3 linked regions of the Cricetulus griseus genome follow. The protein of the gene in region 2 purifies or fractionates together with the protein of the main gene of each other region. This does not show direct contact. Links are inferred from orthologs where the notes say so. Each region holds a gene or a part of one and is shown on either strand. Other genes may lie near its edges.

What was found.
Region 1: the proteins of Rsrp1 (region 2) and C1qbp purify together in Homo sapiens (affinity purification with mass spectrometry; 3 studies listed by BioGRID and IntAct, counting the BioPlex papers as one, with this or other methods). This does not show direct contact. The link is inferred for Cricetulus griseus from reciprocal best matches to the Homo sapiens genes RSRP1 and C1QBP.
Region 3: the proteins of Rsrp1 (region 2) and Cpsf6 purify together in Homo sapiens (affinity purification with mass spectrometry; 3 studies listed by BioGRID and IntAct, with this or other methods). This does not show direct contact. The link is inferred for Cricetulus griseus from reciprocal best matches to the Homo sapiens genes RSRP1 and CPSF6.

Annotation. Positions count from the first base shown.
Region 1 is NC_048600.1:84,784,859-84,792,862, reverse strand, and holds the start of C1qbp (complement component 1 Q subcomponent-binding protein, mitochondrial), read left to right. Parts: upstream 1-2,880; 5' UTR 2,881-2,945; coding exon 2,946-3,171; intron 3,172-3,578; coding exon 3,579-3,729; intron 3,730-6,203; coding exon 6,204-6,300; intron 6,301-7,693; coding exon 7,694-7,789; intron 7,790-7,934; coding exon 7,935-8,004.
Region 2 is NC_048595.1:18,350,348-18,358,315, forward strand, and holds Rsrp1 (arginine/serine-rich protein 1), read right to left. Parts: upstream 4,847-7,968; 5' UTR 4,686-4,846; intron 4,573-4,685; 5' UTR 4,519-4,572; coding exon 3,954-4,518; intron 2,899-3,953; coding exon 2,753-2,898; intron 1,261-2,752; coding exon 1,177-1,260; intron 1,063-1,176; coding exon 946-1,062; 3' UTR 612-945; downstream 1-611.
Region 3 is NW_023276806.1:138,942,989-138,950,970, forward strand, and holds the start of Cpsf6 (cleavage and polyadenylation specificity factor subunit 6), read left to right. Parts: upstream 1-2,858; 5' UTR 2,859-2,955; coding exon 2,956-3,015; intron 3,016-7,982. UniProt on the Homo sapiens protein: Component of the cleavage factor Im (CFIm) complex that functions as an activator of the pre-mRNA 3'-end cleavage and polyadenylation processing required for the maturation of pre-mRNA into functional mRNAs.

The DNA.
Region 1 (8,004 bases), on a different chromosome or scaffold from region 2:
TATATACACAAAGGGGCTGGGGTGTTTATTTAGCCTAGCTTGATAAGAGAAACTTTGTATTTTTACTAGAGCATTCATTATGCTGGTTAAAGAAAACAAGGGGAGACAGTCTGTTCCCCAGTGATGAACAGTTCCTGTTCCCCAGCAAATTAATATGGTGTTTTCTGGGTCAAGGAAAAATTAGCTTACATTGACTGACTCCATAACAAGCACTGGGAACTTACCATGGAGTGACTGGCTGCAGTGAGTACTAGGCACTTCCCAGAAAAGGAGTGAAGGATACAGTTTCTGAGTAACTTAATGTTTCTGTGCAGAATATGTTCATCACTTTAACATTGTGGCAAAATTTTAATAGAGTATTTACTTTTTTATTGGGCTTTTAAAACAAGTGGGTTTTTTAACAAAGCTGCTCAGGGATTAAATCAGATGGAAACCCCATTCTGACTCCACATATTACTACAGAGAAGTTAATGCTTATCTTAAGCTGCAGAGCAGTGCCCTTTAAGCTTTCTTAAGAAAGTAAATTGTTGATGGCAGTGGTCACACATGCCTTTAATCCCAGCACTCAGGAGGCAGAGGCAGGCGGATCTCTGTGAGTTCAAGGCCACCCTGGTCTGCAGAGCAAGTTCCAGCACAGACAGGGCTACACAGAGAAATCCTGTCTCAAAAAACCAAAAAATAAGAAATGTGAAATGTGGGCTGGAGAGATGGCTTAGCAGCTAAGAGCACCGACTGCTCTTCCAGAGGTCCTGAGTTCAATTCCCAGCAACCACATGGTGGCTCACAACTATCTGTTATGAGATCTGGTGCCCTCTTCTGGTGTGCAGATATACATGGAAGCAGAATGTTGTACACATAATAAACAAATAAAATCTTTAAAAAAAAATGTGAAATGATTCATGATTTTACTGCAATACAACCTGAGCTACTGAGAGTTACTTTAGTGTTTAGGTAAACTCTCTCCGACCTGAAGAATCCAATCTCGACTGTACAGCCTCAAACACTGAAGGTGAACAACCCTGAAACACCCAGGGCAACGGTTTCATTGCCAGGTTCCCATGAAAACCTTTGCACCTCTGCCAGCTCAAACAAGACTCCAAAGCAGCAAAACATTTACTGTGATACAAATCCTTGTACTCAGTTACCAGGATCTGTTTGGAACTATGGCCATGCATCTCCGATGCCATTCCTTGAGCTCATAAGCTAGACTGTACCTGTGGGGAAACCATTTTATGTTAATTTGTTGTACTGTAGGAAAAAACCTAAAAAGCAAAAATATCAAGGTGATTTGAACTTGTGCTGTACTCTGATTTCAAACATAAAAACAGTCCTGTGTAGTGCTTTTGACTATCAAATACATAAAAAAATGAATCTTTGTTTATGATTCTTTTGTTGGACTTCTTTCCCTTATTTATAGAATGCTGTTTAGATTATTAAACAGTAGTCTTATTGCCATTCATTTCGTAAGACTTGGTATCTATATTTTGGGGTTTTTTTCCAGACAGGTTTTGTTTTTTTTGTTTTTTTGTTTGTTTTTTTTTAACTCCGTGGCTTTGGAGGCTGTCCTGGAGCTAGCTCTTGTAGACCAGGCTAGTCTCGAAATCACAGAGATCTGCCTGCCTCTGCTTCCCAAGTGCTGGGATTAACAGTGCCTGCCATCACCGCCCAGCTGCCAGACAAGATCTATGTAACCCTGGCTGTTCTGAAACCCACTGTGTAGACAGGGCAGGCTGTCTCCTTAAACTCAGAGCTGTCTCCTTCCAGGTGCCGGGAGTATAAGACATGAGTGTTTGTTGTTTATGTGTTTGCCTGTTTAACCTACATGTCTGCACCACACTCACGCCTGGTGTTCATGGAAATCAGAGTCTGATGCCCTAGAAACTCCAGATAGATCTGGGACTAGAACTCTAGTCCTCTGCAAGAGTAACAAATGATCCTAACCACGGAGCCTTACGTCCAGCCTCTGGTATCTTCAATTCTTAACATAATGTGATGATGTAAGCCATGAATTCCTGCTTCCAGGAAAATGATAGTCCATTAAAAGCTGGATGAACTATTAGGGGGTGCAGAGGTTTCCAAAATAGATGCCACTGCATAGCAGCTGGGTGCAGGTCAACTTGAGCATTCCCGATGTTTAGAAGGTTCCAGAAGTGGTTTTTTGTTTTGTTTTTCGAGACAGGTTTTCTCTGTGGCTTCTTTTGGAGGCCGTCCTGGAACTAGCTCTTGTAGATCATGCTGGCCTTGAACTCAAAGATCCAGATCCGCCTGCCTCTGCTTCCCAAGTGCTGGGATTAAAGGCGTGCACCACCACCACCGCCCAGCAAAAATTCCAGATGCATTGTCCAAGGCTACAGCTTATTAAGGGTTTGAAAGAAGGGATCTGCGGATTAAATAAAACAGCGGGTCACTCTTGAAAGAAGAATGCCAATTTTATTTAGAGGGGAGTTGATTTATATACCATCAGCAGCACCCTAGGAAGTAACTCAGATCAAAGTCCATGCTCTTAAGGCCCTGACAATATGCAGATAATTTGCATATTTGTAAACAGGCCGTGTCTGCAGGAGGGAAAATGAATAGCACCTAGCCATAAGGCAGCCAGTAGCTCCCCAAGGGTCCTGTGGATCAGAGAAGAAAAGCAGACTCCCAGGGGGTCCCCCACATCCAGAAGACTTTTAAGTGAGGTGATCTCAGAGTATGTGGATTGAGAAGAGTGGGCAGTAAAGGAGAGACAGCCCATCAGCCCAGGGAGAACAGAGCTAAGGGATTCAGGACATCCCCGTTGCACTGGAGGCCCTCAGCAGAGGGCGCAGTCTGGCTCGGTTCCTGTCGCCCGGTGACGTAAGAGACCTTCCCGGGCGGGGGCGTGGCTTCCGGCGGTGTTCGAGGTCATATATACTGTCTTGCTCGACAGGGTCGTCACTCACTCCGCACGTGTCTTCCTCACCATGCTTTCTCTGCTGCGCTGCGTGCCCCGCGCCCTGGGCGCCGCTGCCACGGGCTTCCGCGCCGCTGCCCCGGCCTCGCCTCTCCCGCAGCTGCTGCAGCCCGCGCTTCGACCGTGCCTCCGGCCCTTCGGGCTGCTCAGCGTGCGGGCCGGCTCCGCACGGCGTTCCGACCTCTTGAAGCCCCCGGCGCCCTGCTCCTGCGGCTGTGGAGCTCTGCACACCGAGGGTAAGATTCACGCATCCAGGCCGGGATGTGGGGACCCAGCTTGGAACGGATCCCGAGCTGGACCCTCGCGATCGCAGGCCCCACTCCTCGTATCTTGGAAATATGACTTGGCAAAAGCCCGGAGGGGTCGTGGTTTGACAATGTGGTTGCTGGACATGGCTTTTGGCAAGTGAAAGCGGGTAGTTGGGAATTCTTGTTTTATACGGAGAGCAATAATACTAAGTACACTAAGGAGAAATAACTGCTAGAAGAGACATCCTGGTTTTACAGAGTGGGAAACGGACGTTTTCCGGAGTGAATTGGGCTAGAGTCATAGAGCAGCCATAGAAACAGATTAGGCACAGTCCAGGTCTATAGGGTAAGGCAGTTGGCTTTCTCTTTTTTGACCATGTTGGGTTGTCTTTTAGGAGACAAAGCCTTTGTTGAATTCTTAACGGATGAAATTAAGGAAGAGAAGAAAATCCAGAAGCATAAATCCCTTCCCAAGATGTCTGGGAATTGGGAGCTGGAAGTGAACGGGACAGAGGCTAAATTATCGCGCAAAGTTGCTGGAGAAAAGTAAGTACTGGCCCTGGAGTTCTAGGAGACTTTATCACTTACTCTGTCTTGGCCATCCCCATTAGGCCTGAGCTTAGGCCCCATGCTTTGGTAAAATGGCTTTTGAGAAAGCATGCAATTGGAAATTTTCTTAGGTTCCAGGGAGGACATTCACTGACAGATTTGCTGTGGCCTGGTAATTAATGTGTAAAGGGAAGGCTGTTGGGATGGCAGACACAGGCAAGCATTGGGTTATTGGTGACAGTGCTGTGCCCTGCCTGGATTTAGGCACTAGATTTTAGGAATGTTTAAAGTGCTGATTTGTTTAGAATTCACATAAAATTATCTCCTCTGGCTTGTGTTTATAACAGTTGAAAATGCAAGATATGTAACTTTTGTTTTTCGAGACAGGGTTTCTCTGTGGCTTCTTTTGGAAGCTGTCCTGGAGCTAGCTGTTGTAGACCAGGCTGGCCTCTTACTCACAGAGATCCGCCTGCCTCTGCCTCCCAAATGCTAGGATTAAAGGCGTGCGCCACCACCCACCCCGGCACGCCCATGCCTTTAGTCCCAGCCCACCTTTCTCTGAATTTGAGGTCAGCCTGGTCTACAAGAGCTAGTTCCTGGCCAGGCGTTGGTGGGGCATGCCTTTAATCCCAGCACTCGGGAGGCAGAGGCAGGAGGATCTCTATGAGTTCGAGGCCAGCCTGGTCTCCAGAACAAGTGCCAGGATAGGCTCCAAAGCTACACAGAGAAACTCTGTCTCGAAAACACAAAAAAACTAGTTCCTGAACAGCCTTCAAAGCCACAGAGAAACCCCGCCTCAGAACCCCCCCCCAAAAAAAAGTAACAGGATGAAATTACAGTGTAGAAAGGCCATCAGAGGTAGAGTTCTTTGTCAAGCTTAGCTTACCCCTCCCCTAAACGGGTCTCTATGGTACTTTGTAGCACAGACTGGTTCTTCATCCTTCTGCTTCAGATCCTATGTGCTAAAGTTTCAGGCCTATGCTACTACACCTGCTGCCCCTAAAACCTTTAACTTTGTTATGCTGATTTGTTACTCTTTCACCAGTCTTAGAGTCCTGCCTCTAAGGGCTTCTCTAGCATGTGTGAGGCCCAGGGTCAGCCCCCAGTGAGTGCCCCTTAAACACACATGTGTAAGAAAGCAGCTTTATCCAGTGGGGGCCTGTAACCCTAGTTCAAAGCTAGGCTGGGCTGTGGTGGTACACACCTTAAATCCCAGGGAGGCACATCTCTTGAGTTCAAGCTCAACCTGCTCTATAGAGCAAGTTCCAGGACAGCCAAGGCTTGAAAAACCTTAGAAAAGTTCAAAGCCAGAAGAAAAGGGTCATTGACTCTGGGGTGTGGCCACATTTGGTGATTGTCTTCTAACAGGGTGGAAAAGTTCTCTCAAAATTTGCAGGGCAGTGGTGGTGCACACCTTTAATCCCAGCATTTGGGAGGCAGCCTGGACTACAGAGTGAGCTCCTCTCCTAACCACCCTCCCTACCAAATCCAACTACATGCCCTGTCTCTTACAAAAAAAAAAAAAGACAAACCACCAGGCACACCAGTACTCAAGAGGAAGTGGCCAGTGGATCTTTAAAGTCAAGGCTAGCCTAATCTAAGTAATGTGTATAAAATAGCATTGAGTTTGTTTTGTGTTGGCCATTGGGACCTACCCTGAAGTATGATATACCTATTCATTGTAGAAGACTGATTTTTTTCTCTTTGCAGCCAGTACCAATTGCAGATATCTTGGCTTGGGAGCAGGAGCCCAACTAGCTTGAATATACCTAGCAAAGCCCCATTTCTAAACAGTACAGGTTGACACTAGTGGGTGTCAATCTTGGGTAGATCCATGAAGCCCTGGACTTGATCCCTAGCACCAAGGATGGAGAGATGTCTGGCCCTCTTAATATCATTAATTTAAGGAATTAGGTTCCTGCATACATGAGGGGAAAATGTAAGCCATGTTCAGACTGCCTGCCTAACATGTGTGGGGCTCTGGATTCAATCTCCAGCACTACACACACTTAGACTTTTTAATGTTAGGGCTAAGAAACCATTGCCTGGCCAAAGGTTGCAAAGAGTTCTGCAATTCAGTGTGCTTTTATGTGGGTTGGCACTGCTGAAGTAGAATGGTCCTGAACTTCTGCTTCCAGGTATCATGGCAAAGAAATTTATCTCATTTAGAGCATGTTTTGTCACATACTAATTCCTAACAAGGTAAAGTTACCTGGGCACAGGGACAGTATGCAGCTGTGAACGTTTGCCTGGTGTTTGCTTGAGCTCAAACCTCAGAAAGGGGGGGAAGGAAAATTGTTACTGGTGGTTCATTTGCCTTGTGGCTAAAGTTCTTAATCCCCCATGCAGAGGGCTGGGTTGGAGACATTGTTTCCGTGTGCCTTTGCACCTGCCTTTTGTAGCAGGCCTCTCTCTTCTGTGTACCACTTGGTTACTCTTGTACCTTAGTGTGTTCTCACTTGATTTTCTAGGATCACTGTCACTTTCAACATTAACAATAGTATCCCTCCAACATTTGGTGGTGGTGAGGAGGAGCCCTCCCAAGACCAGAAGACTGAAGAACAGGAGGTAAGCTAGTGATACTGTGGCCAGCCATTTTTCTGTCTTAAAAGGCAAGAAAGACTTGGGGTTGGGCGGTGGGAGTTGTTGGTTTGGGTTTTTGTTTTTGTTTTTGTTTTTTTTAAACATAGTCTCCCTATAACAGTCCTGAGTGTCCTGGAACTTGGTTTGTAGATCAAGCTGGCCTCGAACTCAGAGTTAACTGCTAAAATTGTTTCTGAAATTCCTTTTGTGCATATGATTAATGCCAGCACATGAGAGGCAGGGGAGTCTGAGTCCCAGGACAGCCAGGGCTACACAGAGAAACCCCGTCTCAACCAATTACCCCGCCCCCCCCAAAAAATTTTTTTCCTTATGAAAGAGGAAGTGGGAATGCCATTCCCTGGGTTTGTAGAGCAGTATTTTGGAATGGGTTTCAGCTGGAGGTGAGAGCCCTGTTCTAGGGTATATTGCCCCCTCTGCAGGGTTTAGGCTTGATTGTCGGGCCTGTGTTCTGTAAATGCAAAAGAGATATGACTGTCACCCCTGCCTGTGTTGTAGGGGGAGTACTTAGTGTCAAGACAACATCATTTGACATGTATTCAGTGTAAAGACAACACAAGCAGCTTGCAGGAATCAGTTTCATCCTGCCATGTGGGTTGCACTGGGCTTTGGGAGCAAACACCTTTACTTGATTAGCCATTTTGCTAGTCCAGCCTTAAGAGATTTTATATTTGGCCAGCTGAGATTTTTCCTTAGGTTGCTGGCCCACATGGCTGGATCTAGATAGTATTCGAACATCTTAGAAATGGTATGTCTGGCCTAGAAGCCAACAGCTGTGAGAGCCACAGGCTCCCCAGGCCATCTGACTATGCAGTTGTCAGCACTGTTTACAGACCAGTGTGAAATGCAGAGTCCCCTGTTGTGTTTCTGTCATAGTCTACATGCACACCCCAACTCCTTATGTATAGTTTGGGCCTGTTCCTTGGGTCACCATAGAAGGAAGTTGGATGTCTTTTCTGGTTAAGGTGGCCACTTAGCCAGAGCTATGTGTGCCAGGCTCTGACCCTGCTCTAAAGCAGCCACAGGGGAAGGCACTCCAGGTCTGTGTGCTTCACCCAGCACTTCAGTGTGTGGGAGCAGAAACAACTCTGAGGGTCTGGTACAGGTCTGAGCTAGAACATAGCTGTACCTGGCTTCAGGCACCACTTTAAACCCCTGTGTTCTTTTAGAAAGTAAGTTGCTAACAAGATGGAACTGTTAGTACTATGTTGGAAGATGGCTGTGGCTGTCACACTGTGCACTGAGGCTGTGGGTCTGGGTGTGCACCCTAACAGCAATGGCTATCAGACACTGCACCACCTGAGGCTGCCGGTCTGGGTGTGCACATACCACCAGCACTGACTTGTTCATGTTTTTCCAGCCGGAACTGACGTCCACTCCCAATTTTGTGGTTGAAGTTACAAAGAGTGATGGCAAGAAGACCCTTGTGCTGGACTGCCATTATCCTGAGGATGAGGTTTGTAGGGTGGAGTGACTTCTGATCTTGTATGTACAAGAAAGACCTGGTAGCCTAGACCAGGGCGGGAGGGGAGACAGGTGAGAGGGGGCTAGAACTGCAGAGCCTTTCCTGGCACTTCAATTCCTTACCTTTGATCTCTCAGTTTGGAAACGAAGAGGACAGCGATATTTTCTCTATCAAGGAAGTTAGCTTCCAGGCCACTGGTGACTCGG
Region 2 (7,968 bases):
ATGAGACAGGGTTTCTCTGTAGCTTTGGAGCCTATCCTGGCACTCGCTCTGGAGACCAGGCTGGCCTCGAACTCACCGTGATCCCCCTGCCTCTGCCTCCCGAGTGCTGGGATTAAAGCCGTGCGCCACCAATGCCTGGCAGACCATTGTTTTTTAATCTGCCTGTATGTCAGTGCCCCACATGCAGCAAGAGGATGTTAAATCTCCAGGAATTGGGAGTTACAGATGGTTGTGAGACACCTTAGGGTCTTCAGAATCAAACCTGGGTCCACTGGAAGAACAGCCAAGTACATACATCACTGAGCATCTGTTCTCCAGCCACAGAAGGATCTTTTGACATTTAACCCTCACACTTAGTATTCTTATTGCCCTCCTCAGGCTATACCTAAGAGTGCTCAGGAGGCAGAGACAAGATTTTAAGTTTGATTCAGGCCAGCTGGTCTACCAATGGAACTCTAAAGATAGTCAGGGATACACATTTAAAACTAAAAGACCAGCCTCTCCCTGCAACCCACCACACATTCTTCTGAATTAATCTTGCATGTTCAGACTCAGATTTGGGATTAGGAAGGTTTCTTCATCAGAAGTAGATCCATTCAATATCCAGGAAATCAAGACAAATAATAAGTTTATTAACAAATGTACAAAATACACAGTATTCAGCTGTGCCTTACAAAATTCACCCATATACATATGCAATACTATACAATACTTACAAGTATATACAAGACTTCCATCAGTATGCAATTTTCTGGTCCATCTGTGTTCCTATAATTTCAAGAGAAGGCTCAACTGTGAACATGTCACCATCAAGCATCTTTCTTGATGTAATGGAGTTTAATCACAACATTTACTGCCATGATACTCAGGCAGGTAGGCGAATGCTGGAGGACAGGAACTCTCAGTAAAGTGCAGTTTTAGGGAACCCCAGCCCTTGGTTTTTCTTTACACAGGTATCCACAGTCCATAAGGACTTTTTTTCTTATCTATTTTTGGTGACCCTGATGATGTCTCTTCAGCAGCAGCTTTAGCTGTTTTCTGTATCGGCTTTGCTATGGAATTCTGTAAGACAATAAATTCAAGTCAACTTCCCAGAGATTGTCAATACAAGTTAAAAACAACAAACCCTACACTGAATATATCCAATTTTCAAGGGCAATGTTCTGCTATACTTACATTAGAGCTGAAGGCTATGTTTCTTTGTGTGGAAGATTTCTCACTGTGATTTTTAGTTTCATCTTCAGCTTGATTTTCTGAGTGCTAGAGGGGTAGAGAATTTTTAAACATAGCCTTAGTTTTTGAATACTGTATAAAAAGCAGCCCAATTGCACACAATTGTAGATGTAGACACACAAACCAAATTCCATCTATTGCCAGCTAACAAGCTAGACAACAAAGAAACTGTTTCCACTTAACAAGACTGACTCAGAAGTAGACACAGTTCCCCAGGAATACCTGATTCTTTGTTGTGAATATAACTCATTTTTGAGTAAGTGCAATAGAAAACGCTTTGTTAAGATTGGAGGCATTTGCGTTGTGCCTCAATCATCTCCAGGAGCACCTCTTAGGTACTTGCCTAAGCAAACAGTAGGCAGTAGAAACCATCTTAATTGGACAATTAACTTTTTTTTTTGTTTGAGACAGGGTTTCTCTGTGGGTTTAGAGGCTGTCCTGGAACTAGCTCTTGTAAACCAGGGTGGCCTCAAACTAACAGAGATCTGACTGCCACAGCCTCCTGAGCGCTGGGATTAAAGGCGTGGGCCACCACCGCCTGGCTGGACAATTAACTTTTATGTTAAATTTCTATAAAGCATTTTTTTGAGACCAGGTCTCTCATCTATCCCCTGGCTGGCCTAATTATGTAGCCAAGGATGACCTTGAACAATCCTGTCTCCCAAGTGCTAGGATCACAAGTGTGGGGCACTATACCCAGTTTGCACTGCTGGGATCTAACCCCTCGTGTTATGCACCCTAGACCAACTGAGCTACATCCCCAGACTATTATCAACTTAAGATTCCGGTTTCACACCAATTAACTTGTAAGTACAGTTCAATGTGCCAATGCACATCCTTTGTAATTCTGGAGAATTGTAATAAACTTATCTGCAAGTGAAGCAGGCCTCTTCTTCGTAATCTCTCAAAACATCTGGAATATATTGCATATATTATGAACGGGACATCTAGAGCACAGATGCCCCACCATTACACAGTGCATCCAGGCTGAACTGTCAAACTACCTTACACAAATAGCCCTAGCCCAAAACTCTAACATGCACATGGACTACCTTCAACAAAAGCTAAGCTTTAGTCTCTGAACATCAACTCTGGCATTTTAACCCATAATCAATTACCAACAGATTTTCTTCATCATTGTCTGGAGACCACATTCATGATTTCTATAAGACAGAAATAAAGCAGATAAACTATACTGTATACTGAGCACAGACTTTTGGGAACAATGCTGTAAATGAAAGCTACTGATAGAACACTCCAGTCTCTAAAGACTAGACAGAGCAAGAAAAAGACAAAGTACTAACAATAATATAATCAGTGGCTTTATTGTTATGGAAAAACTGACCAAGTATCAGAATGAAAGGAAGTTCATCATCTCCCAGTTTCCTGGTAGACGGTCTAGTACTTGTCAGATTAGTTTTGTTCTGGGCAAATGATTTAAGACATCCCAGGAGGGCTCTCTACAGTAAACTGACAGGGTAAGGAGATTTGCCTGTAGTAGCCCTCTGAAGATACTTACCTCCATCTTTGCGCCACTGCTCAAAACAGCTGCTCTCTGGCTTGTTTCCTTGGCTGCAGTCCGGAGACTCGCTGGCAAGTCAAAGTTGGCTGTTCCTAGAGCTTTTGCTGCATTGGCTTTTGCTATTTCTAGCAGCTCCATTCGATCTAAGGGCATTAAAAAAACATTCATCATCCTCTAAGGTTCCTTAAGCCCCCAAATAACAAACCAAGTATGTTTTCTAAAACAGTAATGCATTCCTTTTAATGAACATTGCTGGAAAACAAAAATCACAATTTTATGCTGAGGGAAAAGTAGCTTCCCAAAATTACCCAAAAAACTAGGTTTTATTTTTTTCTCCTGTTTTGAGAGTGTTTCTGTTTAACAATCCCAACTGTCCTGGAACTCACTTTATAGACCAGGCTGGCCTGCAACTCAGGAGATCCACCTGTCTCTGCCTCACGACTGGCTACAGTTAGCTGTCCTGACAAACAGCACTGTTTGTCTTTTCAAGCATTTCTGTAAACTAGGGTGTTTGGTAACTATACAGTTCTATTACCACTACTACTAATCTTGGCAGTGTTAGGATTCATGTTCAAAATTTATTATTTTGTAATATTACCAAGTCACCTGAAAGTTAGCAAAATCCAATCCTCCCACCTAGTAAATCGTCTTAAAAAATGTTTTTTAAGTGCTTCCCAGCTTAAACTAAGTCATTAACATATTTTAAGATCATACTAAAAATGGCCCGCTAGTAGGAGACTCCTGTCTTTGGGCCAGCGAGGCCATAAATGGACTTGGACTTTCTATACTCTTAAGGTGAAAGGTGCGCGAAATTACATTCTACCTATTCACCAGCTGAAAATTCTTTCCCTCCAAGAAATCTTTGACACCAAAGAAAACGCGGTGGAAAAGCGCCTGGTCCCGGGCTTTATCTTTGTGTGTGTTTTTTTTTTTTTTCGAGACAGGGTTTCTCTGTGTGGCTTTGGAGCCTATCCTGGCACTAGCTCTGGAGACCAGGCTGGCCTGGAACTCAGAGATCCGCCTGCCTCTGCCTCCCGAGTGCTGGGATTAAAGGCGTGCGCCCGGCTGCGGCTTCAATGTTACCAATCCAACTAAACTGGCTCAGCCACCTGACTCCTCCCTGGCCGACGGCTGGAAGGCAGCGTCTCAATTCCCAGAACCCCAAAGGCACAAGCGTCAAAGTGACACCAAGACCCACCTTTCTCACTTAAGCGAAAGGGAGTTCTGCTCCTGCTGCGCGACCTGGTTCTGGACCTTTCCCTCCAGCGGGGGCGATCCTCGGGGTACACCGTGCGGCCGAAACCGTAGTAGCGCCGGCCGCGCGTGATGGCGTAGTACGACCTCCGGTGATGCGACCGCCCGCGGGAGCGCGACCTGCTCCGGGACCGGTAGGGCGACGGCGACTGGTAGTACCTGCGCGACGGCCCGTAAAAGCCATCTCCTCGGTGGTAGTGGCGGCCGCGGGAGCGGGAGCGGGAGCGGCTGCGGGAGTACGACCGCGAGTAGCGCCTGTACTTGCGCTGGTGGCGCCTGCGGGACCGGGAGCGGGAGCGGCGGCTCCGCCGCGCCCGGCTATGGCTGCGCGACGACGAGCGGCTGGCACTGCGCGAGTCCGGGCCGGAGCTGCGGGACGAAGAGCGGCTGCGGGAGCGCGACGACAGGCGGCTGGAGCGGCCCGAGCCCGACGCGGATGGCGAGGCTTTCTCCTGCGGAGAGCCGGGCCACATGTCGTTCACGTACTTAGACGTGGCGGCCGAGGACATGACCTCCTCCTTCCTCTTCTCGGGATCCGGCTTCTTCCGCAAACGCGACGGCGGCTAGGAACGACGGCAAAGGGCAAGGGTCAACCCCGGAAGCGGGAGTGCGCGTGCGCGAACAAACAAGCGCGAGCCCGTGCTCCCGGCCACCCGCGACCGCGCCACCGACTCACCTTAAGCCGATGAGGTGCTCGCACGGGCGAGAGAAAAGCCTAGCGGACACCTTCCTCTCAAACCAGGGTCCGGAGGCGGCCGGGTTTGCAGTGCCCACCGACCCGGGAGCGCAGGAACTGCCACCTCCGAAGTCCGGACGCGAACTGAAGCCAGGGGCGACGTCAGCACCGAAAATACGAGAAGATAGCGCGGAGCATGCGCACAAACGTCAGCGCGGTGGGGCGGGCTCTCGTCTCGTCCAATCGCCGCTCGACATTCGCGCTCAGCCGGTTGCTTCGGGCTACGCCTTCGAGACACGCATGCGCGTGGGAGCCGTCACTCCACCCCCCCCGCCCCACCCCACTCCGTCCCGCCTTGTACATCCGGGTATTTGGGGAGTTTGTTGTTTTCGGGGATTTTTGTTTGTGGGGTGGAGGATTGGTTGGTTTCGGGGTTTGGTGTTTTGAGACAGGAACTAGCTCTATGTAGCTCAGTCGGGCCTCAAACTCGCCGCGATCCTCCTGTCCCTGCCTCCCCAGCACCCCCGGCCTGTGACACCACGCCCAACTTTGTTTCCCTTTGTTTTGTTTTCTGGTTGCTCCACCCTCCTGGTATGGAATTCGGGGAAAGGTGGAGTCAGCACACAATTTGGCGGGCTCTACAGCTGGTTCAAGGACACGGAAGACCAGGGCGACCCAACCCCCCTCGTCCTTCCTGACCTTCTGCAGGGGAGCCTGGGAGGGCCCCGAAAATGCAGTTGTAATTTAGAAAGGGTTCTTAACTTGCTTATTTGAGCTAGTAAATGTAATTGAAGTCAAGATAGAAATTCCGAGGCAACCACAGTTGACCTTGGAGGAGTAAGAGTGCTTGATAGCCCCGTGGTGGTGGTGTGGATCTCTGTGAGTTCAAGGCCAGTCTGCCTGGTCTACGCATTGAGTTCCAGGACAACCAAGGCTACAAAGAGAAACCCTGTCTTGAAAACAAACAAACAAAAAAGAATGGTTCATAGGTCTATTTTATATATGTGTGTGCAGAAGCCTAAGAGGAATCAGATCTCGTGGAACCGGAGTTACCGATGGTTGTGGGCCAGCAAGCACTCTGTGGGTGGTGGGACCCCCAGCCTGTGGGCTCTGAAACACAGCAAAAGCTTTTATTCCTAATAATGAGCCGTTTCTGCAGCAAATAGGTCTGTCCTAAGATTTAAGTGTGATTAGTGCAGGACATTTAAAATTTATTTCCATGGCAGATTCCAAACATTGTCATAAAACATAACCGTGACCCTGAAAAATGTAGGTAATGGTGTTGTAATTTAAGAAAAGTGTGAGAGAAAGATACCATGGGACAGGATTCAAGCACAGGGTTTGTTTGTTTTTAATTAGGGAAAGGGATCATAAAAAGGGGAAAGAAAGAGCAGGAGAGAGGAAGGGAGGGACAGAGAGGGAGAAAAGACAAGGTTGGGAGGTGGCAGGGCCCTTTGAAAGGGAACATAGTGAATTTGCACAGGTGGTGATCTTAGTGGCTGCAGCTGAGAGCATATCCAGTCAGAACCCCAAGGACAGGTGTAAGGATTCAGGCATTACTCTGGCCGGCCGCTGTCACTGTCATGTGGCAGAATGCACTCAGGCAGCACTCTGGTCCGGGGGACTGCTAGTCTGCAGGCCGGTGCAAAGGACCCCTTTAAAAGAAAGACCCCTGACCCCATATGCTCCTCTCTTTGCTGCTATTTCCCTGGGGCAGACAGGACTTTTCCTGTCTCCCTCTTCTCTTCTGTCCTCTCTCTGTCTCTGTCTCTGTCTCTGTCTCTCTTTACCTCATTTCTCTTTACACCCCCCATTCCCTTTCTAATAAAACTTCTCATTAAGCTCTGTCTGCCTGGCATGTTTGTCCCCCACCAAGGTCACTCTCACCTGTCATGGAATCTGCCAAGGTTCCCCTCACGCTTTGTCATAAAACAACAGGCCAGTACAGATGGCCTGAATACTAACATTCTTCCCTTTTTATTATAAAAAGATGAGGAGTTAGAAAGGGGTGGCAGGTGAGGTGGGGATGAGAACACTGTGTTCTCAAGACTACTTCCTGCTGACCTGGGGGGCAAGGCGGGGCGTCGTTCGTCTTTGGGGGACCTGGGAAAGCTGGGGTGCTAGCCACGTCCTGAAGTAGCCGGCGGTTTCACTTCACTGTCCAGGCTCTGTGTTACAGTCAGGTACCACCTGGACCTGGCAGACGTTATTCTAGGTGGAGCCAAGTGGACTCCCTAGGGCTTAAAGCCCCTGACCTTTCCCGTCTCCACAGCATCACTGGACATGTTTGGTCGTCTTGCGCCTCCAGCTCTGTGACCAACAGGTAGTAGTCCCGCAGCAACAGCTGATTAAGAGTGGTCAGTGGGGCCTGGAGAGATGGCTCAGAGGTTAAGAGCACTGATTGCTCTTCCAGAGGTTCTGAGTTCAATTCCCAGCAACCACATGGTGGCTCACACCATCTACAATGAGATCTGCTGCCCTCTTCTGGTGTGTAGGCATACATGCAGGCAAAATAGTGTATATATGATAAATAAATCTAAAAAAAAAAGAATGGTCAATGGGTCTCGAATGGGAGCAAGGAGGCATAGACGATATCACAGCTCCCATGAGTGAGGCAGAGAAGACCCATGGGTCTGCAGTTCCTAGTGTCCCAGGAATTCAGAGAGGGTCGATTTCAAGACAGGCACAGGCCACCCAGTGAGTCATCACTCAAAGGGTGGGGGCCAAGGGCTCTGAGCGAGAGAGACACAGTTAGCTGGTACCAGGACTTGAGGAAAAGCCAGAAGTAGAGGAAAGGACTGTGCTCAAGAAGGGAAGCCTCACATCCAGGGGGCATGGCCAGAAGTGGATAACCCCACCAGAGACCCAAACAAAGCCATCAGCAAACAAAAAAGCAGATTTGTTGCAGGTGGAAGACAGCAGATGGATTGAAGGTGACACAGGTTGGTAGGGTTCCAGCATGGAGAGATTAAAAGTGCTGGGAAGCGGATTTCTGGTAGGCGCATGCCCCATGAGTGAGGTAGAACGAGACCCAATGACTTTCCAAGTGAGGATAGAACAAGAAAGGCACAAGCCACCTCGGTGATTCCTCAATCTGGGGCTGAGGCCAAAGGACATGAGGGTCCAAGAAAGAAGACAGGCACAGGCCAGCCAGTGGGTCCAAGAAAGGAGACAGACACAGGCCAGCCAGTGGGTCATCACACAAAGGGTGGGGCCTAAGGGCTCAGAGCCCGAGAGAGCTGTGGTTGCCTGATACCAGAGCTTAATGAAGCCGAAAGGCCAG
Region 3 (7,982 bases), on a different chromosome or scaffold from region 2:
ATACAAAAAAAAAAAAAAAAAAAAAAAACCCTTTGTGGAGCCAGGTGGTGGTGGCACACAACTTTAATCCCAGTGCTCGGGAGGCAGAGGGAGGCTGATCTCTGTGAGTTCGAGGCCAGCCTGGTCTACAATAGCTAGTTCCAGGACAGCCTCCAAAGTCACAGAGAAACCCTGTCTCAAATAAAACAAAAAACCAAAACCTTGGTGGGGGCTGGAGAGATGGCTCAGTGGTTGAGAACACTGACTGCTCTAAAGAAGGACCCGAGTTCAATTCCGAGTAACTACCTGACACCTCACAACTGTCTGTAACTCCAGGTCTAGGGGATCTGACACCCTCATACAGACATGGATGCAGGCAAAATGCCAATGCAAATGAAATAAAAATAAACATTAAAAATAAAGATCCTTTGTGATGGCACTCTTGGTTGTCAACTTGACCACATCTGGAATTAACTAAAACCCCAAAAGTCAGGGCATATCTGTGAGGGATTGTTGCTTAATTTGAAGTGGGAATTTCTTCTTCTTCTATTATTACTACAGTGTTACAGTGTTTCTATGTGTAGCTTTATAGACCAGGCTGGCCTCGAATATATATATATATATATATATATATAGAGAGAGAGAGAGAGAGAACATTCTATAAGTTCTGTTATTCTAGAGAACCCTAATACCCTTTCCTCCTAAGTGGCTTTTGGTCAGAGTGTTTTACTACAGCAACAGAAGAGGTAACTGGAGCCACCTTGTAAACCTATATTGGACTTCTGACCCCCAGAACTGTAGGATAGTAAATCTGTGTTGTTTCAGGCCCTGGCATTGTTACTAAGTTGTTACAGTAGCAATAAGAAACTAGCACAGGGAGGTGGAAAGACAGTTTATGTGCAACATGTAACACACAATTGTTTAATTTCTTTTAAAGACATTTGGACTTTTTATTCCATGTAGACTTGAGACAAAAAAAAATTTAGAACATCCATCAAGAAATTATGATGATAGTTGGGCATGGTGGTACATGCCTTTAATTCTAGCCCTTGGGAGCCAGAATCAGGCAGATCTCTGAGTTCTGAGTTCCAGGCCAGCCTGGTCTACAAAGTGAGTTCCAGTATAGCCAGGGCTACACAGAGAAACCCTATCTTAAACAAACAAACAAAAATCAAGATCAAAGTATCCACACAATGGAAGGAGAAAAATGACTCATAAAGCCAAAGCCATCCTCTGACTTCCATACATGAACCATGGCATGAACCTGTCCACACAACATGCATAGGCACAGCATAAGTAAATAAGTAAACCTAGCCAGGTGGTGGTGGTGCACGCCTTTAATCCCAGAGCTCAGGAGGCAGAGGCAGGTGGATCTCTGTGCGTTCAAGACCAGCCAGATCTACAAGAGCTAGTTCCAGGTGAGCCTCCAAAGCCACAGAGAAACCATGTCTCAAAAAAACAACAATGAAAAAAAGTAAAAGTAAAAATAAGAGCTAGAGTTATTAGATTTTTCCTTTCTAATTTACACCAATCTTTCAAATTTTGAAAATTGTCAAGTAAAAAGGTACTCTGAAGTTACATTTGAAAAATCATCAAAACTTTTTTTTTGGGGGGGGGGTAAAGACAGGGTTTCTTTGTGTGGCCCTGGCTGTCCTGGAACTCACTTTGTAGACCAGGCTGGCTTCAAAGTCATGGAGATCCACCTGCCTCTGCCTCTAGAGTGCAGGGATTAAAGGCACATGCCACCACCACCTTCTGGTAGCCACCAAGCTTTAATAGCCATAACAAGAACAGATGTTACTTGGTTTATTGATGATTCCAGACCAATCTGCATCTGGTGCCCTTTAAAAAACAAACCAATATTCATTTATTTGTTGGTGGGGTTGGGGGTAGCCAGAGGCGCTGAGTAGATGGAGGATTACTTAATAGGAGTTGGTTCTCTCTTTTATTCATGAGATTCATGAGAGTGCTAGCCTTCACAGCTAGGATCTTGAAACAAAAACAAAACACAGCTAGGATCTTTACCTGAATGAGCCAGGCCTGGTGAGTTTTTCAATGGGAAGGAAAGAAATGGGTGAGGCTGTTGGAAATAAGAGAGAGGTCTCTGAATCACGTACCGGTGCAAGAAGGTGTGTGTGTACCTTTACGAGCCACATAACCCCTAGTTAAATCACTTATGTTCTATTAGGCCTTAGTTCTCTATCTGTAAAATGGGATGTTTGGACACCTTTTTAAATTTCCCTTCTAGCTCAGCATTCTGAATTCAGGAGTTCCTAGATTTAAGATATGTTTGCTTTGTTGCATGAGCTCTAAAAGGAAGTTAGAAGCCTCGAAAGAAAACCTTCTGCACACATAAAGAGGAAAAAAAAAAAGCAAGGGCAATGGGGGAGGAAGGAGGAGGATAAGGGAAGAAGCGAAAAGACAACCGACTGTATACAGAAAAGAGATGCAGGCATGAAATACACAAATAACTCAAGGTACACAAATACACAAAATTCGGTTGTCTTTTAGAAGCAGAAATAAGACATTGCCCCGGCCATCACATTTTGCTTTTGATTGTGTACACATAATAACTCCCACCTCTCGAAGCCTCAGAAGCAAAAAAAAAAAAAATAGGAAAAGCTGAAAACGTAAATTTTTTGTTTTTTAAAGAAAAAAGTGCAAGAAGCAGCTTGAAACCGTAGTCTCCGGACAGAAGCGGGTTGTCCCGGCATGCGGGATGGCAATTTCCTGTGCCACCCCGCCATCCTGCCGCTTAAACCAGCACACAAAAGAACCAGTGAGCGCCCTGGGAGCCGCAGCGAGCCCTCCGCCGGGTCCCCAGGCCCGCCCGCTGGGGCCGCTACGCCCTGGTCTCCGCCCCTCGGAAGTGACGTATCGCGCCCCGCCCCCACCGCTAGATCCGCTGCTGCTGCCTCGGCGGGCCGACCTGCAGGAGGAGGCGGCGGCAGCGGCGGCGGCCCAGGCCGAGGGAAGATGGCGGACGGCGTGGACCACATAGACATTTACGCGGATGTGGGCGAAGAGTTCAATCAGGTACGGGAGGGTCTGGGCTCCGCCACGGACGCCGACGCTGCGGCGGCCTGGACGCTCGCCACCAGGGTCGCCGCGGGAGGGCCGCGAGCCGGGCTCGGCTGCAGACCGTGCGCCCTTGGCGCCTCTGGGCCGCGCCGCTGTGTGAGTGTGTGCGCGGCGCGGCGCCCCCTCACCCCTTGTTCTCGCGCGTCGTTTATGCGGGCCGCGGGCTCTGGAGCGCGGGGCCCGGTCGCCGTGCAGCCGCCCGCTCGCCGGCTCGCCCGCCCTCCCTTCCCTCGAGGCGGCCTCACGCCCCATTGTTGGCTACGGCGGCGGGCGCTTCCCGCCGAGCTAGGCCGCGTGTGCGGGGCGGGGAGAACGGGCCGCCGCGCCCCCTCCCCCGCCGCCCGCCTGATGGTGGGGGGAAGCAGCCCTGGCTGGCCCGGCGCGCGCCCGCTCGCCCGCCCGCCCGCCCGTCGCCTCCATCCCGGCCCTGCCGCCGCTGGGTTCCGATTCCTCCCGTCGCTCCATTTTGTGTTTCTTGTCGGCGCACGGTCGCCCTCATGGAAGGCCGCGTTCACAGCCCTTTGTATCCCGCGCGCCGGGTCTCCCGGGCTCCTTTGCTCGCGTTGGCGACAGGTTTCTGCGTGGTGCCCCGGTCCCCGAGGCGGGGAGGGAAGGCGGCTTAGGTGTGGGTACGTCTGCAACAAGTCATCTGACTTCTGGACCCACTGAGTTCATTTTGAAAAAGTCTCACGGTGCGATGGCCCGCCGTGGCCACCGAGGGCTTGCGGGGGCCTTTGAGGCCCGGTCCTTGGCCTTTGTGAAGGGAAATAATAATCTGGGAAGATAAATGGCTTGCGCTAAAGACTTGGATGCTCGGTGGTTGGACAGAACAAAAAGATGGTGGTCTCTCGCTAACAGATCCCGGAGGCTGAAACGGAGAACGTCCACCCGACATTCTTACCGTGTGATAGCTTGCTTACGAGCCGTCGTGGAGGTGACTGTGTTTTGAAAGCCGAGTGTTAGCCCGGTGGGGCCCTACTTCACGATTTGAAAGGCTTGAGAAAGTGAGAAGTATCAGGTTTTCCGGTCTCACCGGCCACGGTCGCCTAGAACTAGCTGGGATGTCTGATGGTGAACATCCTTGGACAGGTCTAGTTACCGGAGTTAGTAACGTTTAGCCTCTTAGTCCTCTCCATATTTTTATTGCATTTTGTATGTTCACGTCACTTTTTTTTTTCCCCAAGTTGCATCCAACGACAGTGCTGCTAAAAGCTGTGGGTTTTTTCTTTTTAATTTTTTATTTATAAAAATGTCCCAGGTTCAGAGGAGAAGCTTAATAAGATGCAATTGATTAATAGCTTACCTTCTAATAATCGTATTTATGACTAGGGATGCAAGATTTAAAAAAACAAAACAATGGAAACTCTTAAATCCTTACTTGCTTTGTTTTTCAACAATGACAGTGTGCCTCTGGTTTAAGTATTAGAAAAAGAGAAGCAAATTTTGATAGGGTTTAATTACTGCTGACTTAGACACTAGATATTTTTAAATGTAATTAACCCGTTGCAATAAAACGTTAAGTTTGAAAATCTGTTTTTTATCGTGCCTGAGTTGTTAGTTACAACTTAGAAATTTTCTTTTGAGTGCTACAGAAATAGTAGATTAGTTAAGACCTCCGGATCCCCCCCCCTTTCATCTATCATGACATGTAGCATTTCCAAAACACTGTCATAACTGTGACTAAAGGAAAAATAAAAGTTTGAAACAGTCTTCATTAGCTTTTTTTAAAAATAGTTTTTTCCCAAGACAGAGTTTTTCTGTGTATCCCTGAATGTCCTAGAACTCACTGTGTAGACCAGGCTGACTTCAAACTCAGAACTCAGATCTGCCTGACTCTGCCTCCAGAGTTCTGGGATTAAAGGTGTGAGCCACAACTGCCTGGCTATCATTCACTTTTTTCACTAAGAGAACATATTGCTTTGTTTTTGTGCTCTCAGTAAGGAGGAATTGGGATACAGTTTTAGAAATTAAGGTTTCTCAATTGGTCATGGTGGCACAAACTTTAAATCCCAGCAACCAAAGTTGTGCTTTACCAAAATGCAAAATAAGCTTATAAAACTATGCCTATTTTAAATAGTAAATGGAGAACAAGATTAGTGTCTACACAATTTCAGAGAACACCAAGTACAATTAAAACTACTGCTCACAATAGAGAACAAAAGATGTGTTTAGAGGCTGGAGAAGGTGGCCCTGTGGTTAGAGGACAGTTGATCTCTTGAGTTTGAGGCCTGCCTGGACTACAGTGTGAGAGCCTGTCTCCCAAAGAAAAGAAAGATAAGCTTTCTTCGTTATCTCTATGAAATATGTTCAGACTGTTGAATACTTAATTTAGGAAGGACAGTATACTTATGATATAACTGGATGTGGTGCTAGCTAGCAAGAGGTCAAGAAAAGATAACACTTTTTTGATTCCAGTGAGGAACTACTTTGTAGGCCTCCTTTTTATAAGTGTAGCTTTTCATTGACTTGTAGCAGACATGTGTCTGCTACATGGTTGTGTAATTTTACAAGGAAAATCTTTGTAGGTTTAGATAGATTAATTGGAAGGGTAAGTAGAGGCTTTTTCCAAAATCCCTTGTTTGCAGCTCTGGGGACTGAACCCAGGCCCTTGCACATCTAGGTAAGCAAGCACTCTACCACTGAGCTGTATGTTCACTCCAGAGGTATGTTAGTGCTTGCTCTGAATTCCCGAACAAAAAAGTAGCCACCAAAAGATTGTCAGTTATTTTGAGATTTGTCATGTTTTCTATAGATGTTACTACCATTGAAGTGTTTTCATGAGATCCTACCCAGAATTAGAAGCAACAACAAAGTTGTTGATTGATTTAATCTCCCTCTTGCTTGTTTTTCTGTCTTGTAGCTCATGTTGACCTAGAACTTGTGGTACAACTGCTGCCTCAGCCTCTCCAGTGCTGGGATCCCAAATCTGTGCTAGCCATCAGGCTCAGTTCTTTTCCTTCCACTCAGGCCCTTGCACATGATAGGCAAACACCTTATACTCCTGTCCTGCATCCCTGTTATTCTCTTTTCTCTTACTAGGTGGTAGCCTTATTTCTACTAGCTGCTGTAGTTACCAATATGATATTTGATTGTAGTTGAGCAAATATTTTTCAGAACTAATCATTAGCAATTTTTAGTTATTTTGATTTCTAAACATTTATACATATTAGTTTTTTTTTTTTTAATTTTTCTGGGCTGTGTTTGTGTACGCCTTTAATCCCAGCATTTGGGAGGCAGAGGCAGGCAGGCAGGATCTCTGAGTTTGAGGCCAGACTGGTCTGCAGAGCCTGGCTCTGCCTCCCGAGTGCTGAGATTAAAGGAAGAGCCACCGACGCCTGGCTGTGAGCTGCAGTTTTAATTGTATTTTGTATTCTCTGAAATTCTGTGTGTAGTCACTGGTCTTGTTTTGCATTTTGGCAAAGCACAATATTGATTGCATGAAGTATGAGACATGAGTATTAAACGCTTTAATTTGGGATGGGATGAGACTAAGTGCATTTACTTTCTGTACTAGGTGATTTTTAAGAATGGAGAATGAAGACAAGAAGGCATAGAATCATATGGGCAGCTTGGATCTTAAAAGGTTTTGGATGTGGCCAAATGGAGAATAGTTTCTCCATGGAAGGAGAATTTGAACTACTGAATCTGTGCATTTATTACTACTGACTTTCAGTTAAGCAGAAAGCAGAATGCTCCCCTCCAGATTTATTCTTTTATGTGTATGAGTGTTTTTGCCTGCATGTATGTATTTGTATGTGCATTCCTGGTGCCAGTGGAGGTCAGAGGAAGGCATCAGATCCTTTGGAATTGGAGTTGCAGATGGTTGTGAGCCACCATATGGGTGCTAGGAACCCAGGTTTCTAGACAGTGCTCTTAACCCCTGAGCCATCTGTCAAACCCCAAAGTCCAAAACTTTTTGAGTATCCTGTTGTTTTTTTTTTTTTAAAGTTAGATATGCTCAAGTTATATTCTGTAATCCAAATAGTATATATTTTGTTTATCTGGGGGTCAGGTGCTTTTAATGTAGAATTTAGTAGTATCTGGTCTGTCAAACTGTGGGTTATTGATCGTAAGCAGTGCTGATTTAGTTGATCTACTTACTTTAAAAGTAAATGGACCCAGCACTCGGGAGGCAGAGGCAGGTGGATCTCTGTGAGTTTGAGGCCAGCCTGGTCTCCAGAGCAAGTGCCAGGATAGGCTCCAAAGCTACACAGAGAAACCCTATCTCAAACCAAAAAAAAAAAAAACAAAAACAAAAAACCAGTAAATGGAGTAATGACTGGGGTTGGGTCAGTTTTGGAATTAAGGATTTAGATGTCCTCTTTTGTAAAATTTTGTTGAATCATTTCAATTTATACTTAGTCATTGTTTATTGTAAATGAACTATTTTTCTTGTGGAACCTTATGATAACTTAATGAAAATAGTTGAAAGATAAATCAATAGGGGCTGTTAAGATCTAATTTAGCATTCTGCAGGAATTATAACATTTAATATGCTTAGCATACTCATAAAATAATGTTTTCTGGGGAAAAAAAGGATCCACATTTTCTATATCCAAGAATTCAGCTGGGATCTAAAATACTGCCTGGGTGACATTGCACATGCATTGCATATGTACAGACTTCTTACCGTTATTCCCTAAACCAGTACAGCATAATCACTTTTCCATAATCATTTACTGTGTTAGAATTTTTAAGAAATCTAGAGATTAAAGTATATGAGAGGAAGTATAGTTTATAGGTAAACACTGCACCATTTTATATAAGAGGCTTAAACATCTGCAGGTTTTTGGTGTTCTTGAGTGGGTTGGGGATATGTTGGAACCAGTCTCTTGCTACTGGGTTTTATGTGCTAATTTTTCACATGGCATTGAACAACCTTTGTAATGAGGGTATAACTCCCCCATCTCTTAGAGTTCTTT